4 linked regions of the Struthio camelus genome follow. The protein of the gene in region 4 interacts with the protein of the main gene of each other region in a biochemical or structural test. Links are inferred from orthologs where the notes say so. Each region holds a gene or a part of one and is shown on either strand. Other genes may lie near its edges. The genes, in order: CS, MAPKAPK2, MAPKAPK5 and HSPB1.

The links.
Region 1: the proteins of HSPB1 (region 4) and CS form a complex in vitro, tested with the Homo sapiens proteins (2 studies listed by BioGRID). The link is inferred for Struthio camelus from reciprocal best matches to the Homo sapiens genes HSPB1 and CS.
Region 2: of the proteins of HSPB1 (region 4) and MAPKAPK2, one has a biochemical effect on the other in vitro, tested with the Homo sapiens proteins (17 studies listed by BioGRID and IntAct, with this or other methods). The link is inferred for Struthio camelus from reciprocal best matches to the Homo sapiens genes HSPB1 and MAPKAPK2.
Region 3: of the proteins of HSPB1 (region 4) and MAPKAPK5, one has a biochemical effect on the other in vitro, tested with the Homo sapiens proteins (4 studies listed by BioGRID and IntAct). The link is inferred for Struthio camelus from reciprocal best matches to the Homo sapiens genes HSPB1 and MAPKAPK5.

What each region holds. Positions count from the first base shown.
Region 1 is NC_090969.1:473,456-480,409, forward strand, and holds the start of CS (citrate synthase, mitochondrial), read left to right. Parts: upstream 1-3,935; 5' UTR 3,936-3,999; coding exon 4,000-4,053; intron 4,054-6,435; coding exon 6,436-6,483; intron 6,484-6,620; coding exon 6,621-6,728; intron 6,729-6,869; coding exon 6,870-6,935; intron 6,936-6,954. Other genes in the region: CNPY2 (protein canopy homolog 2), read left to right, coding at 59-174, 360-557, 870-966, 2,228-2,271. UniProt on the Homo sapiens protein: Key enzyme of the Krebs tricarboxylic acid cycle which catalyzes the synthesis of citrate from acetyl coenzyme A and oxaloacetate.
Region 2 is NC_090965.1:7,856,393-7,863,650, forward strand, and holds the start of MAPKAPK2 (MAP kinase-activated protein kinase 2), read left to right. Parts: upstream 1-4,248; 5' UTR 4,249-6,227; coding exon 6,228-6,504; intron 6,505-6,646; exon of another isoform or gene 6,647-6,661; coding exon of another isoform or gene 6,662-6,737; coding exon 6,738-6,922; intron 6,923-7,258. UniProt on the Homo sapiens protein: Stress-activated serine/threonine-protein kinase involved in cytokine production, endocytosis, reorganization of the cytoskeleton, cell migration, cell cycle control, chromatin remodeling, DNA damage response and transcriptional regulation.
Region 3 is NC_090958.1:18,348,342-18,355,296, forward strand, and holds the start of MAPKAPK5 (MAP kinase-activated protein kinase 5), read left to right. Parts: upstream 1-3,936; 5' UTR 3,937-3,992; coding exon 3,993-4,028; intron 4,029-6,955. Other genes in the region: ALDH2 (aldehyde dehydrogenase, mitochondrial), read left to right, coding at 69-233, 559-716, 1,488-1,602, 2,154-2,186. UniProt on the Homo sapiens protein: Tumor suppressor serine/threonine-protein kinase involved in mTORC1 signaling and post-transcriptional regulation. Phosphorylates FOXO3, ERK3/MAPK6, ERK4/MAPK4, HSP27/HSPB1, p53/TP53 and RHEB.
Region 4 is NC_090957.1:14,555,459-14,562,246, reverse strand, and holds HSPB1 (heat shock protein beta-1), read left to right. Parts: upstream 1-4,245; 5' UTR 4,246-4,635; coding exon 4,636-4,996; intron 4,997-5,651; coding exon 5,652-5,715; intron 5,716-5,933; coding exon 5,934-6,102; 3' UTR 6,103-6,268; downstream 6,269-6,788. UniProt on the Homo sapiens protein: Small heat shock protein which functions as a molecular chaperone probably maintaining denatured proteins in a folding-competent state. Plays a role in stress resistance and actin organization.

The sequences.
Region 1 (6,954 bases), on a different chromosome or scaffold from region 4:
TCAGGGTCAGTTAATTGTCCTTAGCGCTCCAAGCCAGTGACTTCTCCGTTGTCTGCAGCATGCCGGGCCTTGGTGGATGAGCTGGAGTGGGAAATCGCCCAGGTTGACCCCAAGAAAACCATCCAGATGGGCTCGTTCCGGATCAACCCTGACGGCAGCCAGTCAGTCGTGGAGGTGAGGCGTCTCCCAGTTGGGGTGTGCTTCTGGCTCGGGGGGTGGTTTCAGGCCGAGGCTGCGGGAGAAGAGGGAGTTGGCTGTTAGCAAGGCCTGACCAGAATAGCAGCTGCATGGTAAAGACTCGGGGAGATTAGGGAGGGGTTGGACTAGTGTTTCCCGCTTATCTTATCCTTGTGCCGCAGGTGCCCTATGCCCGGTCAGAGGCGCATCTGACAGAACTGCTGGAGCGGGTGTGCGAGAAGATGAAGGAATACGGGGAGAAAGTGGATCCATCCACACACCGGAAGACTTATGTCCGCGTGATCTCCCATGATGGGACCAAGATGGACCTCTCCGGGGTCAAAATCGATGGGGATGTGGCTTCTAGTCTGAAGTTTGCGGTATGTGCGGGGAGCGTGCCCTGTGCAGTGTCTGTTGGGGCTCCAGGGAGGCTTTAGGTAACCAGGCCCACTGGGTTTGGCAGCCGCAGTCCTTCTGGGATGAAGCAGCTGGTCTCACTGGCAGCTCCTGGCCACCTCCCCTGACCCTTTCCAGAGCTGGGAAGGGAGGGATTCTGCTCCCCTGTTGAGGTGGGGAGTGCTGGGTGCAGGGCCTGGCTCTGGGTTCCCCTGGATGCTGGTCAGCTTTGCCTGGCCCTGCGCGGTCGCTGGCATGGAGGCAGCCAGGCGACCGACACGGGGCTCCCGTTGCAGTGTGAGAGCATTGCCGAGGAGTACGAGGACGAACTCATCGAATTCCTGTCCCACGAGGCTGAGAACGTCAAGGACCGGCTCTGCAGCAAGCGGACAGGTGAGTCGGGCTGGGGCATCCTGGGGAGGGGGCTTGTCCGCTCTCTGTCCATCCGTCCGTCCGTCCCTTGTGAGGCAGCAGAGCCCTGAGGGTAGAAGACACTTCTGGCTGCTCAGGGTCATCTCTGGGGCACCCCCCTCCTTTGGCCGCATAGGGGAGTAAAAGGACTGCCCCTTCTCTGAGGTTCCCACCTCGGGCTTTCTGTTCCCATTCCTGCTGGCCAGGCCCCTTTTTTCCTTGTATTTAGGTGAAATTTTCTGGAAAGCAAGTCAGTGCCAGCGGGCAAGGGCTGGGATCCAGCCCTCGGACCCACAGCGCAGCCCCGTCGCCAGGCCAGGAGCCTGGTGTCTGCATGCGAGGCCCCAGCCGCCCGTGCTGCCTGCCCAGAGCCTGAGTCCCAAAGCCTCTTTGATCTGCCTGCAGCTTTTTTTGGATGCTCAGCGCCGGCCAGGCCCACGTGCTCTGGGAGGGAGCCAGGACGGCAGCTGCCCCACAGGCCCCTGCGCCCGCGGCTCCATTGGCTGCTCGGGCTCAGGGCTCCTTTCACAGCCAATTGCCAGGTGCTCCCCACAGGGCATTTCCCTTTCCTTCCCGCAGAGCTATTTCTAGCTGGCAAACAGAGGGCTTAGGGCACGCTGTGACCTTTGTGCTTTGCTATTAATGGACGTGGTCCGCGTTCGTTACCTGCACCGAGGCTGCAGGGCTGGGCAGGTCCCTCCCGTACCTCCGCACTGGCAGAGGGCAAAATCCTCCTGCCCAAGCAGGGCCCCGTTTTGGGGGCACCGTGTTCATGCGCCACTGGCAGCTGTTTCCAGCTCAGCCCCCCCGGGCCTGGTGCACGTGGCCAGTGTCCTGCCTACCTTGAAGCTGGAGCAGGTCTGTTGTGCTGCTCCTGCTGGCGGTTCCAGGTGAAAAGCCGGGCCGACAGCTCTGTCCAAACAGCTGCGTTTCTCATTAACCAGAGAACAAAGCAGGAGGGGGGCGCAGGCGTCCCCTCGCGCGGGTCGCGGCTGTGCCAGTTGCTCCCTGGCCCTGCCCGGGCCAGGCGCTCTGCACATGACTTCTCCCTTGCCCCTTGGCTGTCGGCAGGCGTTTGGCAGCGCTGTCACTGCGCAGCTGGGGAAAGGCTCCCCCGATGTGCCTCGGTCCTGGGGGTGGATGCACCTTGGCCCTCCTGGGGCCGTCGCGCCCCAGCACCCAGCCCATGAGCCGGGACTGGGATCTCTCCTCTCCTGAGAGCGCCTGGCCTTTGTCGCTGCAGACCTGTGCGACCACGCGCTCCACATCCCTCACGACGAGCTGTGACGCGGCTGCCCCTCGCTGCCTCGGACCAACCGGACCAACGCCTCCCTGACCGTCCCCCCGCTGCCAGCAGCGCCCGAGGGGCCCCCCGAGACCTGCCTGGAGACACGAGCTGTCCCCGGGGCGGACAGCGCGACGCGAGCTTCGTCCGTAGCTGACGTTCGTAGCCGTCGGGGAGGAAGGTCGTCCCCTACCTCTTTAGTTTACCTTTTCTGTGCCCACTTCTCTCCCCCCTCCCGAGGGAGGCGGACAGACGTGCCCCAAGGAAGACTGCGGCTCTGGAGCTGGGCGCAGACGTCTCTCCTAGTCTGGTGCTTTCTCGTCCTATTTATTTTACTGTCTGTCGACTGTAAGTGTGGCGCTGGGAGGGTCGGCAGGGAGCGCAGGGGGGACTCCCACCGCCCGCTCCAGCTCTCCAGCAGGGAGGACCCCTGGGCCCCGGGAGGCTGGAGCCCTGCCCCAAGGCCTTGTTCCTAACAGGAACGTTTCAGTGGCTGCTGGGGGCCAGGGCTCCGGGCTTCCCCGCTGCTCCTGCGGCTTCTCCGTGACCGTGGGCACACTGCTCCGTTCCCGTGTCTCCAGGCAGGCTCCGAGCAAGGGACCGTCCTCTGCTGCCCTGTGAGGGGCCGCAGCCAGGGCTGGTGCCGCACGGGTGAACGCGGCCGGGGCCACCGGAGCAGCCCGTCACCAGGGCTGGGTTTGTTCACCGCCTGTTTTTTAAGAGCCTCTTTCCAGGCTGCAGGGCAATAAAGAGTGGCCGCGTGGCGGCCGATCTTGCTCCCGTGTGTGTGGGTGTCCCGTGGCTGCTAGGGGCCGGGCGGTGCGGCAGCTCCCGCGGGAGGTGTCACGCAGCGGGACGTCCCCGGGCAGCAGCACCCGCAGCCCACTCGGAGAGGCTGATGAAAGCCCTGCTCCGCTCTGCCCGTCCCCGGCCGGGCTGCCGCGGGGGTCCCGGCCCCCGGCCCTGCCCCGCCGCCTCAGCCCACATGGCGCGTCCGCCCCACGTCACCTCGGCCCAGGGTTGCGGCGGCCGAGTGACAGCGCCCGCTGCCAGCGCCGCCGGGGCAATGTCCGGCCGCGGCCCCGGGGTCACGCGCGGCCGTGCCCGGCCTGGCCCTGCCCCACGTGCCGGGGCTGGGGACGGCGAGCGCGGGACCGCCGGCCCCTCGTCCGCCGATAACACCCGGAGCGGCGGGAGGTCACAGGGTGGCTGCGTCCCGCGGTGATGTCACGGGTGGGTGACGTCACTGGGCCCTGGTGACCTCACTGCACGCGGCACCATCGCGTGGATGCTGTCACAGGCGACATCACGGGGTGGCCTGGTGCAGCATCGGGGTGATAGCGAGCCCCAAACGGGCTCTGAGGGGTGACGTCGGGGCATGACGTCACCCGCAGCGGCCGGGTGGCGTCACGGGAGGGGGCGGGGCGGGACTGCCGGGCGCGCCCCGGCACCGCCCGCGGATCAGGCGAACGCGGTGGCCACCTATAGGCCGGCCCCCGCCGCCTCATTTGCCTATCCCCGCCCCGCCGCGCGCGGCGCGGCCAATCGCGAGGGGCCCGTCCCCGAGGGGGCGGGCGGGGGCGGTGCTATGCTAATAACCTACGCAGCGCCGCGCCGCGCCCCGCCCCGCCCGCCGCGCCGAGGACCCCCCGGCCGCCGCCGCCGCCGCTCGCACCCGCCGCCGGCCCCGGCCCCGCTCCCGGCCCCGCTCCCGGCCCGCCCCGCCCGCCATGACGCTCCTGGCCGCCGGCAGCCGGGCGGCCGCGCGCCTCCGCGGCCCCAAGGTGAGGGGCGCGGGCCGCGCCGCGCCTTAAAGGGGCGACGCCGCGGGGGGGGGCGGTGGCGCCCCGGGGGGCCCACTCTTAAAGGGGCGAGGCCTTAAAGGGGCCGCGCCGGGCGGGGGGGGGGGCGGCACGTGGCGCCGCCAGCGGCCGCGCTTTGTCCGCCCCGGCGGGGGGCGGCCCCCCCCCCGCTCCCGGTGTGCCAGCCCCCGGCGGGCTGCGGGCGATGCTTGTCGCCCCCTCCCCCGGTTATTCGGGGGGGGGTTGGGGGTGTGTGCCCTGCTGCAGGCCCCGCTGGGGGGGGGGCTCGGGGGCTCCCGGCCGTGCTTGCAGCCCCCGTTTTGGGAGGGGGCATCTGGGCTGCTTTCCCTGCCGTGTTTGCAACGCCCCCCTTCTTTATTGGGGGGGCTCCGGGGGGGCTCCCTGCCCTGTCGCATCCCTCACTGGGGGCTTCCCCCCAAAAGGGGGGGTTCCCCCCAAATATTTGCCCCCACCGTATGAAGAGGGCTCGGGGTGCTCCTTGCTGTCTTTGCAACCTGCCTTTTGGGGACTCCCTGCCCCCCCCCAATGCGGGGCACCATGCTGCACCCCCCCCCCGGTATTTAGGGGAGAGGTGGGTGCAGGGGGGTCCCGGCCCCATGGCGGGGGCTGCCGGCCCCATGGCGGGGGCTGCCGGCCCGCCGCGGCCTTCCCCGCCGCCCGCGCCGTAGAGGACATGGGGGTCACGCCGGGGGGGGCCCTCGCGGGGGGCTCCGGCCCCGGCCCCGGGTGGGGGGCAGCCCCCCGGCCGGCCCCCGCAGGAAACGCGCCGGAGCCGGCCGGGACCTTCAGCCCGTTCGCCTTGGCCTCGGCCCCGGCGGTTTCGTAACAGCGGCCGCAGCGTTTCCATCGACCGCCGCTTTATTTTGGGACTCTGTCGCTCCCCGGCCCTGGCCGTGTCGTGGTGTCCCACTTGGCCCCCGCGCCGGGCCGGGCCGGGCGGCCCCGCTCCTCCGCCGGCCGCCCGCGTCGCCAGCGCCAGCCCGGGCGGTCGAGGGTCGGACGGGCCGGGCGACCGCAGCCAGACCGGCCCCTTTCGCCGCCGGGTCCCGGCCCGTCCCGCCGTTCGCACGGGTGACCTTGACCGCGCGGCGCCTCCGCCGCTCCGCAGGCCGCGGGTCCGGCCCGGGGGGGCTCTGGCCCCGCGCCCCCCACTGCCGCCGCCGGCTCTGTTGTTTCCAGGCCCCTTTCCGTGTTTTTCCCTCTCGGCGCGACGCAGCCCGTCCCCGTGCTGAATAACGGGCGCGCTTCCCCCGAGCGGCTCGGCGCTCGCGCGGGGCGGGGGGCTCGGCCGCGGCCCCCCGCAGCGCTGCCCTCCCTCCCTCCCCGGACCCCAGGGGAGAAACGAGTCGCGTGGCTGCGCGGCTGCCAGCGTCTCCGGAGGCCCCGCTCGCGCCGCGGAGGCGCCCGGAGCCGGACGCCCGCTCCCGCTCCGCCGGGAGGCTCGGCCGCGCCGCGGGGCCCGGCGGCGTCCCGGGGGGCTCTGCAGGGCGCAGGGAGGACGAGGCGCGATGCCAGGCCCGGAGCTCGCCGGCCTCGTCGGGGGCTGGCCAGGCCGGAGTCCCCGCGTTTGACTTGGCGCTGAGCAGAGATCGTTTTATTTCTTTATTTATCTATTTATTTATTTATTTCCTCGCTGGAAAGCCGCCAAGCCGGGGCGGGGGGATTGCAGCGCCGGCGCGCAGGAAGGCCGCTGCGGTTTCGCTCCGGCGGCCGCGCGTTGTCGGCGGCGCAGGCCGCCCCGTGCCCTTGCAGCCTGCGCGTTTCCACCTCTGGTCCAGGCGCCGGGAAGCGAAACGCCGGATGGGTTTTGCTTCCCGCTGCCGAGTCGCGCAACGCGCTCTGCAGCGGTTCCTGCTCCGGACTCGGTCGTGCCGGGTTTGCCCCTGGTTTGGCGGAGCCGCAGCCCGCGCCGTGCACGAGCGAAACGCCGCGGCGCGGGAAGGGGAAGGGGCCGGGGAAGCGGCTGCGCGCCCGGCGGCTCCCCTCCCCCTGCGCGCTTGGCAGCCGGCAACGAGCCCAGCGAAACCTGTTTGGGTTTGATCTCCCCCGTGCGCCAGTGGGCGTAGAGAAGCCGCGGCTCCGGTTGCAGGGCGTAGCGTCCTTGCGAGACGGCGGCTGTCACGGGGCTCTGCCTGCGGCAGCCGCAGCTGCGGGGGCAGCCTGGGCCCCGCCGGGGGATGCTCCCGCAGGATGCGTCCGGGGGTTCGCGGGCTCTGTCGGGTGCTCGGATCCTGTTTACACTCTAAAAGCGTTACAGAAACGGGGCAAGTTGGCTGCTCGAGCAGGGCGCTCGGCCCCTTTTTCCCTGGTAACGCTTAAATCCCCGTGTCTGCTCCCCCACAGAACGCGCCATGCGTCCTCTTCGCGGCCCGTCACGCCAGTGCCGCCACGGTAAGAGCAGATCCCGCCTTTGCTGCGACCCCTTTGCCCCTGCGGGGCAGAGGCCGGGCGAGGGGGGCAGGCAGTGAGCCCGCGCCCCGGGACGGGCCAGACTCGCTCACGGCTCCGCTGCCTCCCCTCCGGCCCAGAACCTGAAGGACGTCCTGGCCAACATGATCCCCAAGGAGCAGGCGAAGATCAAGAGCTTCAGGCAGCAGCACGGCAGCACGGCCATCGGGCAGATCACGGTGGACATGGTGAGCGGCGGGGGCGGCCGGGCCGCGCTGCCTTCCCCGGGGGGGGCCGCGTCCCTCCGGCGTGCGGCTGCGGCGCCCGGCTGGGTCGGGGAGCCGGGCTGTCCCCAGCGCCGTTAACTGCCCCCGCCTGCTCTCCTGCAGGTCTACGGCGGCATGAGAGGCATGAAGGGGCTAATATACGAGACCTCGGTGCTGGACCCGGATGAGGTAAGGCCTGATCCTGCCC
Region 2 (7,258 bases), on a different chromosome or scaffold from region 4:
ATGGGAAACGTACAGGAATGGCAGTAAGCTTTATAAATAGTCTTCGATGATTTTTTTTTTCTATTAAACTCAGACCAGCCTGTGATGCATCATGCACACTGCTAATTATGTCTAAGTAGCTGCAGCTGATAAGACGGTCCTTGTGAAATCCGTTCCCAGCTTCTGGTCTTCGTCCCTCGCTCGTTCCTGCGTAGCGGCAAAGTCACGAGGAGCCGGGGCCACTTTCCGAAAGTTGCTCTGAGCGCTGCTGCGAAGGGCCCTTGTGCTTCGACCTTTGTGCGGAAGCAGTTCAGGCTTTTTTTTGTCAGCCCGTTTGCCGCGTTTCCCTGTCGGTGCCTACGGGCATCCGTGATGCAGGAAAGGGCAGCGCAGATGCTGCCGCCTCGCTCCTGGAGCTGCCCGGAGCGGAGCGCCCAGCCGGCCGCCCCTGACGGCCCTCGGCGGCCCCAGTGGTTTTCCACCGCGCCAAAAAGCAGTACAATCCCGGCAGCCCCCGGCCCCTGCCGGGAACGGGCCCGTCCGGCTCTCGAGCGTGGGTTGGTGCCGCTCACGGGGACGGTCCGCGCTGGCCTTGCTGCTCCGAGGCCACAGAACATGCCTTGAACGTCCCCCAGGTTGGGGCGTCTCTCCTTACCCCGCGGCGTGGCTGGCCTCGTGCCGAGGCCTCTCGTCGCTCCCTCGGTGGCGTTCGGGGAGCCCTTGCCCCCTCTGCAGCAGGCCAGCCTGCATCTGCACCTGGGCAGTCCGCGTTGCAAACGAGGCCTGATTGCTGGTTATTGGCAACCAGTGCCATTAACGGCAGCGGCGGCCGTGCAGGGGCGAGGGCTGTGTGCAGAGCTCCTTGCTCTGCGGCTTGCCCGTGGTGGGACCCTCAGCACGGTGTTTTCCTCCGGTTGTGGATCGTGGGTAAGCTGAGCTGTTTGATTTTGGCTATACAACGCCCCGGGTCTATGCACTAGCCTGCAGGCAGCGGTCCCCGCCGTGGGGGCGGTTTGTTCGGCTTGTAGCCTTGAACATGCAATTAAAAGCTGGCTGGGAGCTGAGCTGCCCTGTGCAAGGGATGCTGAGAGCCACCGGCCGCGTCGGGGTGGCCCGGGAGCGCCGGCACGGGGGCGGCCTGGCCCGGACCGTGTGGGTCCTGCGGGATTAGGGCCGGCCCGGGGAGCTGCTTGTGCTAACGGAGCTGATCTCCATAATCTTGTTGCACAGACGCCTCCTCCCCCTTGGCAGGACAGCGGGGATTTGGGGCCACGCGTATGCGGCAAACAGAGCAGCAGATAGGGGGGGTTTGCAGGATTAACGTGTTGTCCGCTGGCGACCCAAACGTGTGGGAGCAGTTTTTATCCCAAACTCCTGAGGGTCTCGGTCTGCTCTGAAATCCGGCTTCCTTGCTGTACTGGCACGGCTGTGAATTTGCTTAGGGGGAAAAGAAAAAAGGAAAAAAAAGAAATCTGTGCTTGGAAAAGCGAGGGGAAGGCTAGAGGAGGCACGATGCCCGCTGCGGGCCTGTCCCCGCGCTCAGGTGCGCGCCAGGCAGCACCTGGCATTTGCCTGCAAGCTTCGTTTTCCTGTGTGCGATCCGTGTTTCCACTTGCCAGCTGGAATACGTCCTCGTCTAAGCAAATGATGTTTAAAGACCTGTATTTCTGAGTGGTGCTGTTTTGTGACCCTGAGTAAGGAAGTACGTTTAGCATTATCTTGTGGGCAGTGAATCAGGATTCAGTTTCCTATTAGAGATGGAAAAATCCCGATGTTACAGAGAAAAGCAACGTAGCAGGTCAGCGCTGGTGGCCTCTGCTCATTTTTAATGGGCTGCACGCTCCCTGGAGACGGCGGGAGCGGGGCCCGAGCTGGCCGTGTGCAGCGTATAAGCAAGGACTGAGAATCCGCCCCGTGGATATTGGAGCAGGAACGTAGTCTTGCGTAAGAAAGGACTTTGCGCTGGCCTGTTATTAAACGAGAGAGCCCTCAGGAGGGCCCGGGACCGCGTGGTGCTCTGTCCTTCCCCGCTCTGCGCGTTCCCCTGCGAGCCAGGGGCGAGGGGGAAAACCCCTGTAGCCGTCACTCGAGCGGATAATCCCGAGCGTTGCCTCCTGGCAAGTCTCGCGATTAGGAGCTCCGTGTGCTGGGTGGAGCGGGTCCAGCGTGCCGGGCTCGGGGAGCCGTCCCGCCGGGCATGCGAGCAATGCCGGGGCCGGCCAGAGCGCTAATCCGCCGGGGCAGCCGAGCCCGGGAGCCGCCCGCCCGCTTCCCCCCGCGGGGACCCCTTGCTCCTTCCCGCCGCCTTTCACCCTACGGGACCGTGCCGCGCGCTGTAAACGCATAGGCACAAACCGTGCCCGAGGGCCGCGGGATGCATCCCAAGCCCTGGGATGCGGCCGTTCGGAGACGGGAGCGACGCGCTTCAGGGAGGGATGCCGGCTGGGGGGCTGCGCGGAGCCCGGCCCCGCGCGCGGGCCGCCCGCGCCGTCGGAGGGGCTCTGGGCCGCCCGCGCCGGCACAGGCAAGGCTGGCAGCGCTTCGCTTCCGCTGCTGCCTCCTGAGCTTGTTGCGGCGCTCCCGTTGCTTTAACAGCAGCGTTAGTAGCTGTAATGGGGATTAACAATATCTTTCCAACTCAATTACCCCTATCCTAAAAGCATGCAGGATTATTTAAACGCATTATCATTTTTTTAAGTGGGATAGCTTTCCACCAGTGCCGTGCTCGTACCAATCTACCCGGGGAGAAGAACAGGATGCATGCAGCCTTAATGATCATTACCCTAATCTTCCAGGTCTATTTTTCTGGGTAACTCCGCTATAATCAAATAACCATCTAGTTTGTTACTCGCCAGGGAAAGAGCTTGAGCAGATCAGCCGCTGTGTCACGTAGATACAAAGGCTGAGCCTGCACTGGCTGCTTCCTGTTCCCTGACGGAGATGGGAAAGGAAGCGGGGAAAAGCTCCCCCTCGGCAGCCGCCTAATTGTCCTGCGGGCCCAGGAGCGGCGTGGCGGGCGCCGCGTGCCCCGAGCCGCTCTCGTGAACCCGTCACGGGCACAAACGCCGCGGAGAGGGGCCGGGAGGAGGCTGGGGGGGGAAGGAAAAGTTGGGCCTGAGACCACCGCCTGCGAAGGCGCTGCTCTGGGCGGACGGGCTGCCCGTCTGGGGGCTCCCAGAAGTCGCTACCTGCCGATCTAGCCCAGCGCGCCACAGGGTTTTGCATGTTTGCACTGTCATCTTCCAGCAGGCTGTTTGCAGCGGGGGGGGGGGGGGGTGTTTAATCACAGAGACGCTGATGCTACAGGTGGCAGAGATCAGTTACACCCCCGGCCCACACCCCAGCGGCAAGGGCAGGTTATCCACCCCTGCACAGGAGCAATCTCAAACCCCGGACAGAGGCTCTGGAGAGAGAGAGATATATATGTATGTATCTATCTATAATATATATTTAAAATGTGTAAATGTGCAAATAATATATATTTAAAATGTGCAAAATATAGATATATGCATATCTATATTTTTAGTAGCAAAGGCTGAAGTACCGGGATCTCCTGGTGGGGCGTGCAGAAGGGGTTGCTCCCACGGTGGACCCAGGCCGCCCGCTCGGGAGCGGGTGAACGCCGGAGGGTCTCCGCGTCCCGCCGCTCCCAGAAATCCCCGGGGAGGCGGACGGCTCGGGGCTGCCGGGGCTGTGCCTTGGGGCTTAGGTATAGCCGACGGACGGATTGTAATGGGTTGCTGGAGGACCTGAAAACAGCCCCCCCCCCCCCCCCCCCCCGAACGCGAGGAGCGTCCTGTTCCCAGACGGTGCGGGGACACGGCGGGCCGCGGGGGCCACCTGGTGGCCGCGCACCCAGCTCGGGCCGGGGGCTCGGCAGCCGCGGCGCTGCCGCCCCCGGTCCCCGCCGGCGCTTGCCTGCACCTGGCAGACGCGCTCTCTGCCTTGCGGTCATGCCTGCACGGAAGCAAAATATCCTCCTCCTTCTTTTTTTTTAAGCTTTTTTTTTTTTTCGTTCTTTCCCCAAAAGCCCAGTGCCTGCGTGTATCTCCATCAGCACCAGTCTCATGGCGCAGAGGGAGGCCGAAAAGGGGCCTCCCGGTCCCTCTCCTTGCTAAACCTACGTCTCTGGGCTACGCCAGCTCCTGGCCCGGGGCACGCATCCTGGTGCCTCCCCTGGCAGGAAAGGGGCTAAAAGCCGTGCCGGGCATGCAGGCGGGTTAAAACCCCCGGAGGGGGGAATTGAGAGGGATGGACAGTGCGACACTAAGCAAGCCATTTCATTTCTTTCTACCCACCGCAACCCAATCTGTAAAACAGAGAAAAACTGTCCTTCCTGCCCATCTACCTTATGCGTAGCGTAGTTGGTGTCCAAGCTTTTGGAGGGCAAGGGTTGTCCTTTCCTACTTCCATTAATGGCACGCAGCACATTGGTGCCCTGACCTCAGCTGAGCAATCGAGGAGGTTTCCATGGGAAACCTGGGAAATGGGGCTTCCAGACCGTATATATCCTTTAAAGTGTTGTTTATCTTTGAAATAGTTGAAGGACTGGATTACAAAGTAAACATGAGTGAAAGCAGAGGAAACAGAGTAGCAACGTGGGTCAACGGTTTTCCTTTGCCCACAAATTCTTCTGTGAAGAAAAACTTGGCCTTAAAGGTTAATTTCCACAGACATGCTGAAACGGGCCGAGTAAAGAGAAGGAAACGGTGGGAAAACCCTGCAAAGCGTGCCGGCAGCTTTAAAACATCTTTGCTCTCTATGAGCCGTTGCTAGAAAGCAGCGGGCTCTAACTCCTGCCCCAAGCCGCCTTGTGAGCAGGGCTCGGGTCCTGGGAGACGCTGCCACGTCCCGGAGCTGATCCGGTTTCCCAGGAGGAAAATCACTTTCCACAACGGCCCCCGAGGCGCTGGGGACTTCAGAGGGAACCTCGGGTCCCGAAGCAGGGAGTGCCCCTTGTTCGGGGCGAGTTGTTTGTGGCGCTGCCGGGCGATGGAGGTCGGCTCACTCCTCCTTCCATCTGGCGACTGTCGCTGCCACCTCCTGACGGCCGCTCGGCCTCTCCCTGAGACGACGTGCTCTCGTTAGCAGAGTCTGCTGTTCCATCCAACTATTGATCAGTGGTTCTGTTAAGACGCTGGCTTTCGGAAAGCATGAGCTGACCTTTTTATACTTACTTGACTAAGTAAAATCCTAAATAAATCCTAAATAAAAGGATTTTATTGATTGCAGGAGGTGGTTGGGAGACACGGACCAGATGTGTCCTGCTCCGGTACGAGTGCCTCTCCCTGTGGTGGACGTGCCCGTAGAGGTCACGGTTTGCTCTGCTGTCCTGCCCCTTTTGGGTGCTAGATGTTTTCTTTCTCCCAGTGGCAGTCGCTTCTGGAGGACTCGGTGTGGCTCTGGCATGCTGTAGGCCTGGTATGATGTGTTCTCTCTCATGAATGCTTAAGCCGGTTTCTTCTGCTATTGCTTTCTGTTAGTCAAAAATAGAAAACAAAACGTTGAGGATAGAGGGAAGTCCTGTTTCCATGGCTTGTTTTTCCCTGGGGACCCCTGTGAACTTGCAGACGTCGGTATGGATGAATGGGGTTGGTGGCTTTTACCACATTGATGCGTGTCCACCAGGACCCTCCATCAGTGCGTTTCAGAGGGGCCTCCAGAGCTCTTTGCCTTTGGCACCTTTGACGGCAGTGAGATCTGTGCAGGTGAATGGTTCGAATCTGCGGTCCCAGCAGACCTGCTGATCACCGCTTGATCCGTGCCAGGCAGCGCTGCGGGTCCTGCTTCCCCTCCCTGAGCCAGCACATCCGTCGCTTGCTGGTGGCCATGCAGTGCAGGGGTGCGTGTGCGGATGTGCACAAAACAGCCTGCCAAAATATCACTGCCTGGGCCGCAGGAAATTATTCCAGACTCTGCTGTTTGCTTCTAGTGTTGCTCTGGGCATGTTTCTGTCTTCCTCCAGGTCGCATTCATTGCTTTTTGTGGGAGAGCCAGGTAATATGGGAATGAATGTCATAAAAGTGCGTTCATTAGTTAGAAAACGAGGATTATTAGTGACGAGCAGGCTGTCCGCTTTGTGTTAAAAACCTTGACTTGCCGTTTTGCTGCAGCTGAAGGAGAGTCCCCTGGGTTTTGCTGGCTGCCCGGCAGTTCAGCCACGAACCAGCCAGGATCTGTTAGCCCAGCTTAGCTTCTGCCTCGCCTTCTGGGTTGAACACGGCAATGGGGCTTAACTTCTCATCAGAATGCTTCTTTTGTTGCTGTTGCCTTTTTTTTTCCCCCCTCTTTCTCTCTCTTCCGGGACGGTTTCCCATCCCTCGCCTTTGCCCTGGCGCCCGGTGGGCACGGCAGCCTGCGCCCGCCCCGTCGCGTCCCTCCCCCGGCGGCCGGGCCGGCCGCGGCGAGGCGCTGACATCAGAGCCGAGCCGCGCCGCGCCGCGCCGGCGGCGGCAGCAGCAGGAGGCGGAGGAGGAGGAGGCGGAGGAGGAGCCCGAGCCCGCCGCACCGGAGCGATTCCTCTTCCCGTCGCGGCTCTCGGGGCCGGGGCGCACCGGCGGGGGGCGGCGGCGGCTTCTCCTCCTCCTCCTCCTCCGTCGTCCGCTCCTCCCGGGGCTTCCGCGGGGCTCGGCCGGGCTCGGAGGCGCCGCCGCTGCCGGGCCGCGGCCCGCCGCCGCCCGCCATGCTGCCCGGGGCGCCGCCGCCGCCCGCCGCCTTCCCCAGCCCGCCGCCGCCGCAGCCGCCGCCGCCGCCGCCCGCCGCCCCCCCCCACGGGCCGCCGCCGCCGCCGTTCCCGCCGTTCCCGGGCAAGGCCGGCCTCCAGATCCGGAAGAATGCCATCACGGACGACTACAAGGTCACCACGCAAGTGCTGGGGCTCGGCATCAACGGGAAAGTTTTGGAGATCTTCAGCAAGAAGAGCGGCGAGAAGTTCGCCCTTAAGGTGCGCGCCGGGAGCGGGGCCGGGAGCGGGGCCGGGGCGCAGCGCAGCCGCCGGGCAGCGGGGGGAGCCGCCGCCGCCGCCGCCCCGGGAGCCCCCGGCGGCACCGTCCGCCCCGCTGCTTCTCCCCAAATCTCCGCGGCGTAGTAGTGTTTCTACTTCTTTTTCTTTCTTTTTTTTTTTTTCTCCTCTTTCTTTTAATATTTTTTTTGGGGGGGGGGGAGAGGGGGGGTTGTCCCGAGCGGCTGCGGAAAGGGGAAGGAGAAACTCGGCAGCAACAGTTCCTGCCTGACAGCGATGGAACATGTCCGCTGGCGGCTCGCGTGCGCCCGGGCTTCT
Region 3 (6,955 bases), on a different chromosome or scaffold from region 4:
GTTGCAGTAGAATTCTCTTTCACCCCCAGGAAAGATGAAGCTGATCTGTCTGTCTGAATGGCTTCTAGGTAGATGAGGAGCAGTTTAAGAAGATACTTGGTTACATTAATACTGGGAAGCGTGAAGGAGCCAAACTGCTATGTGGTGGCAATCCTGCTGCAGACAGAGGCTATTTCATCCAGCCAACTGTCTTTGGAGACGTGCAGGACAACATGACGATTGCCAGAGAGGAGGTGAGACCTGCAGCATCTTTCTGTCAGCTTCTCACTTCTTTTCATTTTGCCCCTTCTGATGCAAAAAGAAACAGCTCTACAAGTACTAGACATTCATGAGCTGCAAGTGGAAATAGGAACTCAGTGCTTCTTAGAAGGTTACCACAGCAAGCTACACTCCAGATTACATCTTGGCTGCTTTGTAATACTGGAAGTGACCGCACTGATACTTTGAATTTGACCTCCTATGTAACTTCTAACATGCATACATAACTCCAGCATCAACCACAGCCTGCCCTGGGATCGATTTACACAGATTTTCATGTGATCTGTTTGGATTTTTTAGATATTTGGGCCAGTCATGCAGATCCTGAAGTTCAAAACAATCGAGGAAGTAATTGAGAGAGCAAATGACTCCCAGTACGGTCTAGCAGCAGCAGTCTTTACAAAAGATCTTGACAAAGCAAACTATGTGTCTCAGGCACTGCGAGCGGGAACAGTTTGGTGAGCCTCGACACTTCCTCCTTCTCTCTAAACTGCCAGAAGCTTTCCTCTATGTTGTGATTTCTCATTCAAGCTTACTCTTTGATAGCTTGTCTTTTCTTCAGATCCAATTTTACATGTACTTCACTGAATATAACGCCAGACCTTGAATTTTAATGCCAACTTTTGGTAAAATTTAGGTATATTGAGCTTCCACGAGCCTCCTGGGAATTAATGAATGGCGTGGGAAAAAAGTTCCAGTACTAGAGTTTGCCAAGACGGCAACTACTACTGGGCTTTGAGTGCCAGTAGTGATTAGATCATGAGCGTGTCTGTGCAATTTTGGCTGCTACAATTGCTGGTACTTTGTGTCGGAGACTATGCTAAAGGCAATACTTCGAACACCAGTTTACTGTTCCAGCACGTGCAGTTTTGGACATCAGTATCTCAGTGTTTGGTAGCAAGTAAACTTGAATGGTACTAAGTGAAGTACATGCTTGATATCTGTCCTTAAAAGGAGATGTGGGTGGCAACCTGGACGCTTGGTCCTATGATATGAGAGATATTAATTGGTTTCATGATCTTTTGTTTCCTGATTGACGATCGGGAAACTGTTTTGTCCTGATTAAGGGTCCGGTATTCTTGATCAACTCTGTTGGCTTGGCAGTCTAACAGATGGAAATTCAGTTGCACCTCTCTTGTAAACAACTGAGATGTCTGTTTGCTGAGAAAGGACTTTTCCGTTAAGCAGTCCTGAAACTATAGATGCTTAACAGTTTATTTCCTTTTCAGGATAAATTGTTATAATGTGTTCGGTGCACAAGCCCCATTTGGTGGCTACAAAGCATCTGGGAATGGGCGAGAGCTGGGAGAATATGGTCTTGATGCATACATAGAGGTGAAAAGTGTGAGTATCCAGGTATCTGAGTACTTCCCAACTGTCTGCTGTACTGCCAAATTGTATATGAGCCTGTTGGTATAAGCTGGCTTGAGACTGCAATTCTTCTTTCTAATGCTTGAAACAAATTTGGAGCTGCACTTCTAAATAACTGCAAACAAAACTCCATGTAACTGTATGCAAACAGAAAGCTAGTCTTGTTTCGTACTGCTGAGGAAAATAAGGATATGTGACCTAATTCCACAGTTGGAATAAAACTTAGGGGTCTTAGTTACCAGTTGCCTGCACCGCTTGGCCCTGTCTTCAAGTGATCACTTTAGCTGTTTCTTACTGTAAAGAATGTAAGTGTATTGACTCCTTTGTGAATTTATTTTGTGGAGAACAGAATTCCTCCCTAAGGAGCGTGTGCCGGGAATGCACTGGCTGTAGGGAACAGTGTTTATACTGGCGTCTGGTTCTTGTTCTCCCCTGCGTAATGCTGCTCCTCTCTGCTCGCCAGTGAACAAAACTGAGCCCTGTCTCCAGTTACAGGAAACTAACTTGTGACATTTCTTTTCCAGGTGACAATCAAAATTCCACAGAAAAACTCATAAAGGACAGTAGTTTCTCCATGCATTTGACCTACGCAGCTTCAGGAGATACAAAGCAAGGAACCCTCTTCTTAAGATACACAAAACTTAGGTGGAGAACATGTCACTCCACACGTAACTTCTAAAGAAATGATTCTGTAGAAGGTGCCTGAAGGAGCTTTTGTTTAAAAAATTACTTGGCTTTAACCTGTTAAAATACCAAATACAGGCAATTGAGTACTAATGCATTACACAAGCCTACTCTTGTTGCACCTGGATCTAAGAATGTGCTTTTTTAAAGAAAAATGCTTGTCTAATCTGCAGGAGGCTTTTTAGTAGCCTTCATAGCTAGCTGCATGAGCAAACAGCTACTCCTTAACCTGTACACCTACATCCCTCTTCCGTAAGCAAAATGGACTGAGAACCAATTGTGTAATGTAGGACGGTAACATCTCAGCATGAATTTGTGAAGTAAAAGTCTGTTCTCAGCTGCTTGTATCTGCTCTCACTGTATCTACTCATAATAAAACAGTCTTCTCTCAGTACAGTTAGTCTTAAATTTTGCTGCAGTTTTTTTGTCTGTGAATGAAGCAGAAACTCAAGTATATGGACACGTTCGTATTTTCTTCCACACATCGATGCTCTAAACTCGGGCAACTTTTAAGGTTTTTCACTGGCTTTCCGTGTCTTGGCAAGTGCCTTTCAGAAAGTGTGCTGGAGCTGCGCTGAGAGTCGCTTTTATCTTGCGGGAACTAGATTTAACTCCTGAAATGTCAACGCTTAAGAGCTATATTGTGCAAATCAGGAGGGCTGGAAGCCGGGTATGCTATGAGGGGGAGGTGTCCTCCTTCGGTGCCGAAGGGCGCTGGGGTGATACGGTAAGAGAGGCTTCTTCAGGCTTGCTCTCCTCTCCCCCGTCCCCGAGGAGAGCTGGGCCCGCGGCTCCGACCGCCCTGGCCGAGGCGGTGGCGGCCACAGCAGAGAGCCGCCGCCGCCGCCGCTGCCGCGCCGCCGCGCACGCCGCGCTGCCTCCCCTCAGGCGGCCAGCGACCGTTATCACCTCAGGGCGGCGCGAGACCGCGCGCACCCCGAACTCCCGCGAGGCTTCGCGTCACCCCGCTCTCGCGAGCTCTCCCGATGGTGGGCGGGGCCCGGTGGGGCGGGGCTAAGAGGCAGGCGCTGGCCCCGCCCCTCCAAGGGAGCTTTGCTCCCGCCCCCGGTGTAACGTCATCAGAAGGCGCCCGCGGCAGGAAGGCCCCGCTGGGGGGCTTTGCCGGCTGAGTCGCGCCCTGAGGGGCGGCGGCGGACGCCTGTAAACGACGCGGCCGCCGCCGCGGAGCCTCCTAAAATTCTCCGGCCGGAGCGGGGGGGAGGCGGGAGGCCCGGGCCGGCTCCTCGCGCCGTGCGCGGCGGCGGCGGCAGCGCGGCGGTGGGGCGCGCCGCCCGGCGGGTGTGCCCCGCTCAGGGTGCCGGCAATGCCTGGCTCCCGGGCGGCGGCGGTGGCGGCGACGCCTCGGCGGCGGCGGCTCCCGGGCTGAGCGGCGGCTCTGGGCCCGCCCGCGCCCTCGCAGCGGCGCTGCCCCGCCTCCGCGCGGGCTCCTGGCCCCGCTCCCCCCCCCCCTCCTCCCCGGCCCGGCCGGCTGGCGATGAGGCGCTGCGGCGGCGGCACAAAGGCTCCTCCGGGGCTGCCCGTTGCCTAGCGCGCCCCGGTGCCCCCGGCCCGGCCCCGCCGCCGCCGCCGCCTCCCTCCCCGCCGCGCCGGCCCTCGGCCCCCCGCGGCCCTCGCCGGGGGCGGCGCCCGGCCCCCGCCGCCCGGGCCGCCGCGGGAGGATGTCGGAGGCTCACGAGATGGACAAGACGATCAAGGTAGGGCGCGGGCGGGCGGCCGGTGCCGCGCGGCGGGGCGGCGCGTCCCGGGGGCTCTGCCGGCTGCGGGGGCAGCTCTGCCGCCTCGGTGCCTCCCCGCCTTCCCGTTCGGGCGCTGTCATGAAAACAAATGTGGGTGTTTGCGTTTGGAGGGGTGGCAGAGCAGCTCCGCCGATCCAGGCTTTGCCTTTCCCCCCCCCCCCCCCCCAAATTTTGTTCCTTTGAACAGCAAGAATCGCTGTATGAGCTTAACGCTTCCTGGTGAATCCTTCTGTGACCCGACTGAGCGGGTTCCCTGAGGAAAGCAGGGGGACCGTCTTGACAGTAAAACAATGTGTTAAAGACTCTGCAAGTTTATCTTGCACAAAATGTTCCCGGTCGCAGATTCTGGTTGCCTTAATAAATACTTAAATTAATAAGGCAAATGAATTCTAGAAAAAGGTAGATTAAAAAAGAGCTAATGTATTGGAGTTTGACTTTTTTCCTTCATCTGTGTTATCTTTGGCTGTGGGATTTATCCCGTATGTAGCTCACTGAGGTGAAAAAGGGATGTTGAAATTCAGTCCTATATTGCTGAACTCTACATTGATTAGAAGTGTACGGGCCTTGCTTTTTTGAAATGAAAAAGCCAAAAGTGGAAGGGAGTCTAGGCATAACGTTTCGGCACTCCAAATTGTGAGGAAACTACTGGGTCAAGTACCAGAGTGGTGTACTGAGCCCTCCCACTTTGTTATCAGTCTTAGCACAGTGCAGGTGAAACAGCTGTCCAGAAGGCTTTCCGAGTGAGTGTTCTGTCAAGTACTTCAGTGATATTTCATGAAAAGATAATGATTTATATCATAGCTCTTGATTTACAACAAACAAGGAAAGCCACTGTCCTGCAGGGGTAGGGACAGCCTCCTATCTGCCTTGCTCCCCTCGCTCTGGAGGATGCTGGCTAAGAACAGGTTCTGGGTGAACGTTTTGGGTGACAGGCACTGTCCGAATCGGAGATATAATTTAGTCTGTTTAAACATCATGTTGATTCCTCTGTTCTGCTAATGTTCAGTTATTGTTTCAAGTTTGGTTGGTTTGCATCTGCATCTGCAGGTTTAAGTTCTGTGATTCGAGACTGTGATCACCGTTTAATGTGAACTAGCAGAAGTTGAAAGGCCAACAGTTTAGCAGAGGAGAACCAGTTACGTTGATTATTTGCATATCACTTGTTGAATATGTGGCATTTGTCCAAATGGCAGTCTATATACTTTTAATCAACTTTAAGAATGTGTTATTGTTCTTGAAGTACTTTTATGTCATACCTTTTTCCACTGGGATTCAGTGGAAACCGAGAAGCACCTGAACTTTCCGCTGAGCAGGCCTGAGGCATGCTGAGCTGTGTGTCTGAAAACAGCTTCTCTGTTGTTGATCAACTTAGGAGAAACTGCATTCCTAGCTTTCCAAACCATTGCCATCCCAGACAAATGATCCTGCGTGAGAGGATACCCAAACCATTGGTTTAGGCACCGTGAGCTTTTGAAAGGGAATTGTGCTATTGAAGAGTGTTGAACTTGTAGAATTTGTGTGTGTGGTTTTTTTTTTCAGTTGAATACATTTCAAATCAATTTATTCCTTTTCCCCAGTGGAAATTAGTGTAAGGAATGATCTTTAAATTCCTACACTAGTAGCTGCACAAAAGTTTACAGTAAGAAAATTACACCACTGCCTGTTCTTTTGCTTTTTGTTTGTTTGTTTTCCCCCTGGAAGTGTGCTCTCCAGCACTCTTCTGCCTCCTCTATTCCCAGCCTCAGCAGATTAGTTCCAGCTGACCTGTCAGCCAGTTTACAAGTTCAGTGCTGTGCAGCAGTGCTACTGTAAGGCACGCTATTTTCCAGATGTGGAGCTAAGTACAGAATACGGGGCCTTCTGCTACCTGCATCCATAGTGCATTACCCTAAATGGGAAGGCAAGGCATTTAGGCTTAATCAATTGAAATAGATTTTAATATTTTCAGAGGGCAAATTTATATTTGTACGTTTTAAAAATTTCATGCTGTTTGAATGTTAGGAACACATGTTGATTTGCAGCTAAATACAGTCTTGATGCTAGACTCAGAACTTGCATTTGTGAGCTAGAAGGAGTTTAGCCAACTCCATAGATTAGTATATATTAAAGTTCACAAGTTATATATTTCCTATCATTAGGAGATGGTGAATAATGTTTCTTCATGACTTTTTCTTTCTTTTTTTTTTTTTTTTTTGCTTCTAAGTTGTCAAGCTGCCTTTGAATAAATAAATTATAAAAATGCAGAAAACAGTGAACTTTGGCTTTCTTATTTAAACCACTGTTAAAAGCCCAGAATATGCAGGAGGAAATAAATTAACTTTAATTAAAAATGGACTTACTATTTGTAGTTGTTGACCTTACCCTTCAGGTGCTGAGAAATATCAGATCTTCTCTCCCTCCTTTTGGTTCATAGATCACAAACTTGCCAATTCCTAATCAGCTCCTCTGTTACTAGGGTTCAACTTGCTCAGTCCAAACGGAAAAAATGGTCTCTCTGCCATAGCAGAAGTCAAGCCCAGGCTTGTATGTATAGACAGTATCTCTTTTTAGACTTACCTGTATAGTTGAAAAGGTTAGGTAAGTTTTAGGGTGGGTATGCAGGCCCTTCATTTTTGAAACAAGAGCAACAGACTTCAAAGCTACATAAAAAATAATTTAAAAATTGTCATTTAATCAAGATGTGGTTCCAGAGTGCTTTGGCATTAGCTTCTCCAGTTCAGTGGTTGGACTTTCTTCAAACTTGGACAGTAAGTGCAATCCCGAAAGCGTGTCCTGGGAATGTACTTCACATTTCAGAAGAACCTTTTCTCAGCTTATAATGTACTTCTAAAATTGTATTTTCATTGCACCTGTGAGGATTTCAATTCTCTGTATCTGAATAGCAG
Region 4 (6,788 bases):
CACTGAAGGCTTCGACTCCCTTTCTGGATGATGCTGCCACTGGTTGCCCTTCGTTGGCATATGTGGGGTAGCTGCAATTCAGGGTGGTGAAGGACACAGGTGAGCAGGACACAGCAGTGCAGAGCAGGCAGGATCTGCCCCAGCCACTATGGCCACTTTTGGCTCCCGGTCCCGTTGCCTCCCCTCTCTCAGCCTAGGCCAGGCAGTTGCTGAAGCTCCTTGAGCAGCAGCAGGACACAGCTTGGATGTCAGCTTAGGTTCCAAAAAGAGAGGGAGGAGGGTCCCGTGAGTATGGGACTTTGCTGAGAAGCGGCAGAGCTGGGATGCTAGCTGGTAGCCCTGGTTTTGCAGAGCTTTCCTTCTGTTGATTTTCCAAAAAGCTCTTCTCAGCTGCCCAGGAGCTGAGGACGGCAGGAGGGCTTGCTCCTGCATGACAGCACCCTGGGGCTGTTTGCATTTAATCTGCATGGGCCACGCATTTTCTGCCTCACTGGAGAAAGACGATACAGATGAGCCTCCTTTGGTGGAGAGAGCAGCTGCCCGGATTAACCCATTGCCCCCAGATTGAAAGCTGGGCTTTGTCAATCTCTCTTGACATTAGTTTCCAGCCTGCCTGGCTGGCTCGAGGGGATTGGTAGGACCAGGTCATCCTTTTTGAATCCTGCTCAGCCTATAATGCAAAGGCTTTGTTAGTCCATGGCTACTGCATGATGAATTGAAGGTCTCAGGAGGCAGGAATATGAGTTAAGCCAGGATTGCATCTGGGGCCGGCCGCTGCTGTGCAGGGCGGGGGTGGTCACGGTTTGCCCAGCCAGCAGAGTCCCTTGTACTCCCCTTTCCAAAACTGCCACTGGAGAAACGGAGCCAAATTGAGAAACAGAGGAGTCAGGCTGGGAGGATAGAGAGGGGCCTGCATTTGGGGTTGGGTGATGGAGGTGCTCCAGGGCACCTGGGGCCAAGCAGGGTGGGATGAAAGGGGGAGGGTCTGGGCACAGCTGTTTGGTACGGAGACAAGAGCCTCAGGTTCATCTTCCAAGCCCAGCACAGGCTGCTTTGAGAAACTGGCTCCTTCTAGGCAGGCAGTGACTAATGTTTGTGCTGAGGCCAGGACAATTCACCAGACCTTGGAGAACTATCTCCAAGGCTTGGATCATCTCCTGAGCCAAGCTCCGTGGTTTCACAGCCTGTCTCTCCATGCAGCCAGTCCTGCTGCACTTGCTCAGCTAGCAGACCCTCTTCCCCCGCTGGAGGTGGCTGCTGTCTGCAGCAAAATTTGCTTCCTGGCAAATGTTCCTTTGTGCGAGGACGTGACAAAGCCTCACAGATACCTCCCAGAGGTGCTGAAGGTTGGGCAGGGACCAGGGAGAGACGGGGCCTCATTGCGATTCCAGGCTGGTGCGCCTGATCTGGAAAGGAGCTGAACCAATTGCCCAGAAAAGAAAAGCAATTAGAAATGGATTTAACAGGTAAGAAGGAGAAACGATTGTGTTTCTCAATTGCTTGGCTTGTTCCAGCATATTAACCTGAAAGCCCCGGGCAGGGCAGCACCCCGGCAGCGTGCTGGGGCACACGGTCCGGCCGGGCGCAGGTGGCAGGAGTGCCGTGGCATAACCCCTCGCTTCCCTGCGCAGGGCTCCCTGGCTGGGACGGGGCGTTCCCGGGGCGCTGGCGACCGTGGCGGCTGCGGACCAGCTTGCCCCAGCTGTCTGTGGGCCTGGCCTGCCCGATGTCCCGAGATGCCCCGTTGCAAAGCTGGAGAAGGGGGTGCAGTGGGCCTGGGCGATGCAGAGACAAGGGTGAGCCGCAAGGGCTCGTAGGGATGATGTTTCTGCAAGCCACAGCGTGGCAGCCCCGGGCAGCACAGCACGGTCGGGCCGTGCCTTGCCCTCCCCGGTCCCTGTGGGTTTCCTGCGCGGTGCCCTGCTGGCACCGTGGCTCGTCTCCTCCTTGCAGCCCCCCCAGCCCCGCCAGCATCTCCTGGACAGGTTGCGGGGGCGTTTTGCACCCGCTCGCCCGCTGCGCTGGAGCAGGGGCAGCCTCAGCTGTGGGCTCCTGCTGCCGCCTTGCACCGGTCTCAGACTGCCTGTGGGAGCCCCAAAATGCCTGATCGAGACAAAAAAAAAAAAATCAGAGTTTGAACCACTGGAGAGGGTTTATTTTGTGGCATTTTTACACCAGCCTGAGGAGGGCCGTTGCCAGCCCCCGACAAGGCGCCTAGGTTGGACACACACTGTGCCAGCAACCCCGTGCGCCCCAAAACGCTGCAATTTTGGCCTCTTCTCCCTCTTCACCCCCCTCCTGAGCAGAGGCAGCGGCCGGGGAGCGGGGTGGGGGGCTCTGCCGCCTGCACGCCCCCCCAACCCCAGCGCCTGTCCCCGGCGGTGGTGTCCCCGAGCCCCCCCGCCAGCCCGAGTCCTGCTCTGCGACAGCAACCCGGCTGCAGCGCCAGCACCGACAAAGACAGCACATCAGGGAAAATTTCCAGTCTTCCTCTTTTACAGTCCCTGTCTCCTGCCCGCGGAGGGAGCTAACTGGAACAAATACTCCGCAGGAATACTTCAGTGTTTTCCTCGCGCGCGCGCGCTCTCTCTTGGGTTTTTTTTTTTTTTTTTTTTCCGGATTGTGAGTACAGCTGTAGATTCGGTGAGCTGGTTCAGTTATAATAAAACATACAGTATATATTGTAAATGACTCTGCCGGGCCCGGAGCAGGTTGTTGTCAGCGAGGCCGCGGCGCGGGGGCTGGCACGGCGTTAACCCCGCTGTCTCGCCGCAGCCCTTCCCGGGCTCCGGCGCTCTGTCCTCTGCCTCCCTGCTCGGCCTCCGCGTCCCCCCCCACCCCGCCGCCCCGTCGCGCTCCCTCCTCGCCTCCCTCCCATCCGCGCGGCCCCTCCGGCGCCTACCGCCTCCCCCCGTCCCCACGGGGCTCCCTGCCAGCTCCCCGGCAGGATGCGGCCCTCCGCATCCAGCTCTACCCGATTCGGCTGCTTTTATCCATTCCCCCCCCCCACCAATTCTGCGTGGTTTCCATGGCAACACGCCGGCTCTCCCAGCAGCTCCCCTTCCCCAAACAAAAGGGTTTGCCAGCGGCTGCAGCATGTGGAGGTGGGTGCTGGCACCCCACTGCGGTGGTCATGGGGGGACCCCCCCCTCCTTCCCCTTCCCCAAAATCTGCACCCCTGCCAGGGCATCCCCCCCTCTCCGGTCATCACCACGGCCCCATCAGTGCCCTGCGTCCTGCTGGGAGGGGATCTCTGTGTTCGTGCATCCCTGCAGTGAGTGCATCAGGTCTCAGCTACACCCCTTCCCCTGGTGTCGGCCGGGGACAGGCCGCTGGGCGAGAGCCTCCTTCCCGCCGCCCTGGCCTCACCCCTCGTCGGGCCCCGGGACCTGGTTTTCTGGGGCTGCCATGAACTGATTCATAGGCAGAATATGGGTCAAAATATGGGACGAAGAGGCGAAATTTTAGCGCTGGGCCTCAAAAGCAAAGGGCTGAGGCTGCAGCGAGCTGGGAGGGGAGTTGGGGGTGGGGGGAGGAATGAAAAGGTGGCCTGAGGTTGAAGTCCAAGCTCAGCCCTGGGGAGGCACCTCCCCGGCGGGGGGCTGCCGGGGGGGGGGGGGCCTGGAAGGTCCCGCTGGATTTGGGAAGGGGATGGGGGGGGGGGGGTCTCGGCATCGCTCTCCAGGCGGCAGGCAGGCCTCCCTGGCTGGAGGGTGAACGTGAGGGCAAAGGGCTCCGGGAGGGAGCCGTCCTCCCCTTGTCCCGGAGCGGCCACCACCCCCCTCAGCCCCCATCGCTCTCCATCAGCCCCACTGGCCGCAAGTGCCCCCGTTGGGCCTTCCGAGCCCCCGGCAGCCCCCGTTAGTCTCCTTTGGCCCCCGTCAAGCCCCATCGGCCCTCATGGCGCCTCATCTACCTGCACTGACCCCTCACTGGGCCCCATCAGCCCCACCAACCCCTTCTGGCGCCCATCAGCCTCCACCGGCCCCGGTTAACCCCCATCAGCCCCACCAGCCCCTACTGGCCCCATGAGCTGTCACCAGCCCCTGTCACCCCCCCCGTCAACCGCCGGCAGCCCCCGGCAGCCCCTCCTGGGGCCGGGACTGTCCCCCCCCCGGCCGCCTCGGACAGAGCCGGCTGGCTTTAGGGGCGCCGTGCCGCGGCCGGGAGGGCAGCAGCACGGCTGCCGGCCGGGCCGCCGCCGGCCTCCGACGCTCCAGAAGCTTCTGGCAGCGGCAGCGCCGGGGGGGAGGGGGGGGCGGCTGCTGGCTGAGGCCCCGGCGCGCCGCGCTGCCTCCCGCCGCCCTGCCAGGTTTTTTTAACGGGAGAGGCCGGGAGCAGCGGCCTGCCGGGGCGCGGGGAGGCCGCGGGGTGCCGGGGCACTGGCGGCTGTGCGCGGCCGCTCCGGCCTGGGAAAGTTGGCAGCGCCGGCTTCCTCCTCCTCCTCCTCCTCCTCCCCCCCCGCCTCCTCGGCCCTCCTCCGGCCGCTTCTCGGCCCTTCCCGGCCCCTGCTGCAATTTCCATTAATAGCCAGCTGAGATGCCTGGCTAAAAATAACCGCCCGCCCTCTTCATAAGGCCCCCGGCGCCGCCCCGGCAGGAGCCGCAGCCCCGGCAGCCCTCCGCACCGTGCAACATGGCCGAGCGCCGCGTGCCCTTCACCTTCCTGCGCAGCCCCAGCTGGGACCCCTTCCGGGACTGGTACCACGGCAGCCGCCTCTTCGACCAGTCCTTCGGGATGCCCCACATCCCCGAGGACTGGTACAAGTGGCCGAGCGGCAGCGCCTGGCCGGGCTACTACCGGCTGCTGCCCAGCGAGAGCCCGCTGGTGCCCGCGGCGGGCTCGGCCTACGGCCGGGCGCTCACCCGGCAGCTCAGCAGCGGCATCTCCGAGATCCGCCACACCGCCGACAGCTGGAAGGTCACCCTGGACGTCAACCACTTCGCCCCCGAAGAGCTGGTGGTCAAGACCAAGGACAACATCGTGGAGATCACCGGTGAGTCCTCGCCGCGCGGCAGCGGCCGGTTTCGCTGGCCGAGCGAGCGGAGGGAAGCGGCGGGGCGACGGTGTGGGCAGCTGGGGGCTGGCGGCCGTGGCCGGCCCCGTGCGTTTACCCCCCACCCCGCAGCGCCGGCGGGGTCCGGGCTGCGGTCCCCCAGCCGGTGGGATTTGGGCGCCCCGCTCGAGGCCTTGGGGCCAGCTGGGGTGCAGAGCTGGGCTGCCACCCCTGCAGCCGGGTTTGGTCCCCGCTGCCAGGAGCAGCTCGCGGCCCTGGGATTCGGGGACGTCCCCGTGGAGGCCCAGTCCCCCGTGCTGGGGATGCAGGAAGGGGAGGGCAGCCCAGGAAACCCCCCGCTGCCATTGCACAGCGCCGCTCCGGCCTGCTGTCAAGGCAGAGAAACCCACTGCCTGTCGCCTTGTGCCCGTCCCTGGCTCGGTGGGGAGCAAAGGTGAATCCCCCGTGCCGTCCCCCCCGCAGCACCCGTCCCACTCCTGCCTGGCCAGGGGGGGCCACCTGGCCCCCCGCCTCCCCGAGGCACCGCACCAGGGTGCTGCCCTGGGCATGGTGGACCCTTGAATGCAGAGGCCTTTCCCGCCGCGGTGCCCCGCCAGCAGGCTTCACCCTGTCCTGGCTTTTCTTTTTCTTCCAGGGAAACACGAGGAGAAGCAGGATGAACACGGCTTCATCTCCCGCTGCTTCACCCGAAAATACACGTAAGTGCCAGAGTGAGACAGGACCCTGGCAGCCCCTGACCCCTTTGGGCACCTCTCCCATCCACCAGGTCCTGCCCCATCCCCTCTGGTGCCTCCTCTGGGCGAGCTGGGGTTGTTGCTAGCCCAAACGGGGAGGACCGTAGCCAAAAAAAATTGGGGCTGTGAAAAGCCCCGGGGCCGGGGCCTCACGGTGCTGACCCCCGCTCTCCTGCCCGCAGCCTCCCGCCCGGCGTCGACGCCACGGCCGTGCGCTCCTCCCTCTCCCCGGACGGCATGCTCACTGTGGAAGCGCCCCTGCCCAAGCCGGCCATCCAGTCCGCTGAAATCACCATCCCCGTCACCGTCGAGAGCCAAGGCAAGAAAGCAGAGGAGCCAGCCAAGAAGTAGCCGGAACCGAGGAGAAGGAGGGAGAGAAGCCGCTGCCTGCGCCGCTGCCCTGCACAAAATAGCTCCTCACGCCACCCCCCGCTTTCATCCCCCTTTTTACTCTGTATTTTGTACTCACCCCATCACTGCGTGTCTCAAATAAAGGAGAAGAAAAAAGTAGAATCAATCGGAATAAACAGCCATGAAATAAAGCCGCCTGGTGCCCTGCGTCCCGTGGGCAGCAGGCCTGGTGGGCTGGGACCCGTGCCGCGGGGGCACCGGGCTGGGACCCGTGCCGTGGGCGCCTGGGCTCCCCTCCGGCACGGCTGACTGAGCTGGTGGTGCTGGCCATGACGGGGCACGTGTGGGTGTTGCCGGGGTCCAGCACAGCTTTTGGATGGGGCACAGACCCTGCCTGCACTCACGCCTTCCCCATCCTCTGATATCCCGGGTCTCCAATATCCCAGGTCTCCAATATCCCACATAGCCAATATCCCATGTCTCCATTATCCTGGGTCTCCAAGATCCTTGGTCTCAACATCCCAGGAAGTCTCTGACATCCTGGGCCCCTGATATCCCAGGTCTCAGTATCCAACATCTCCATTATCTTAGGTCTCCAAGATCCTTGGTCTCAACATCCCAGGTCCCCAATATCCCAGGTCTCTGACATCCTGGGCCCCTGATATCCCAGGTCTCAATATCCAAAA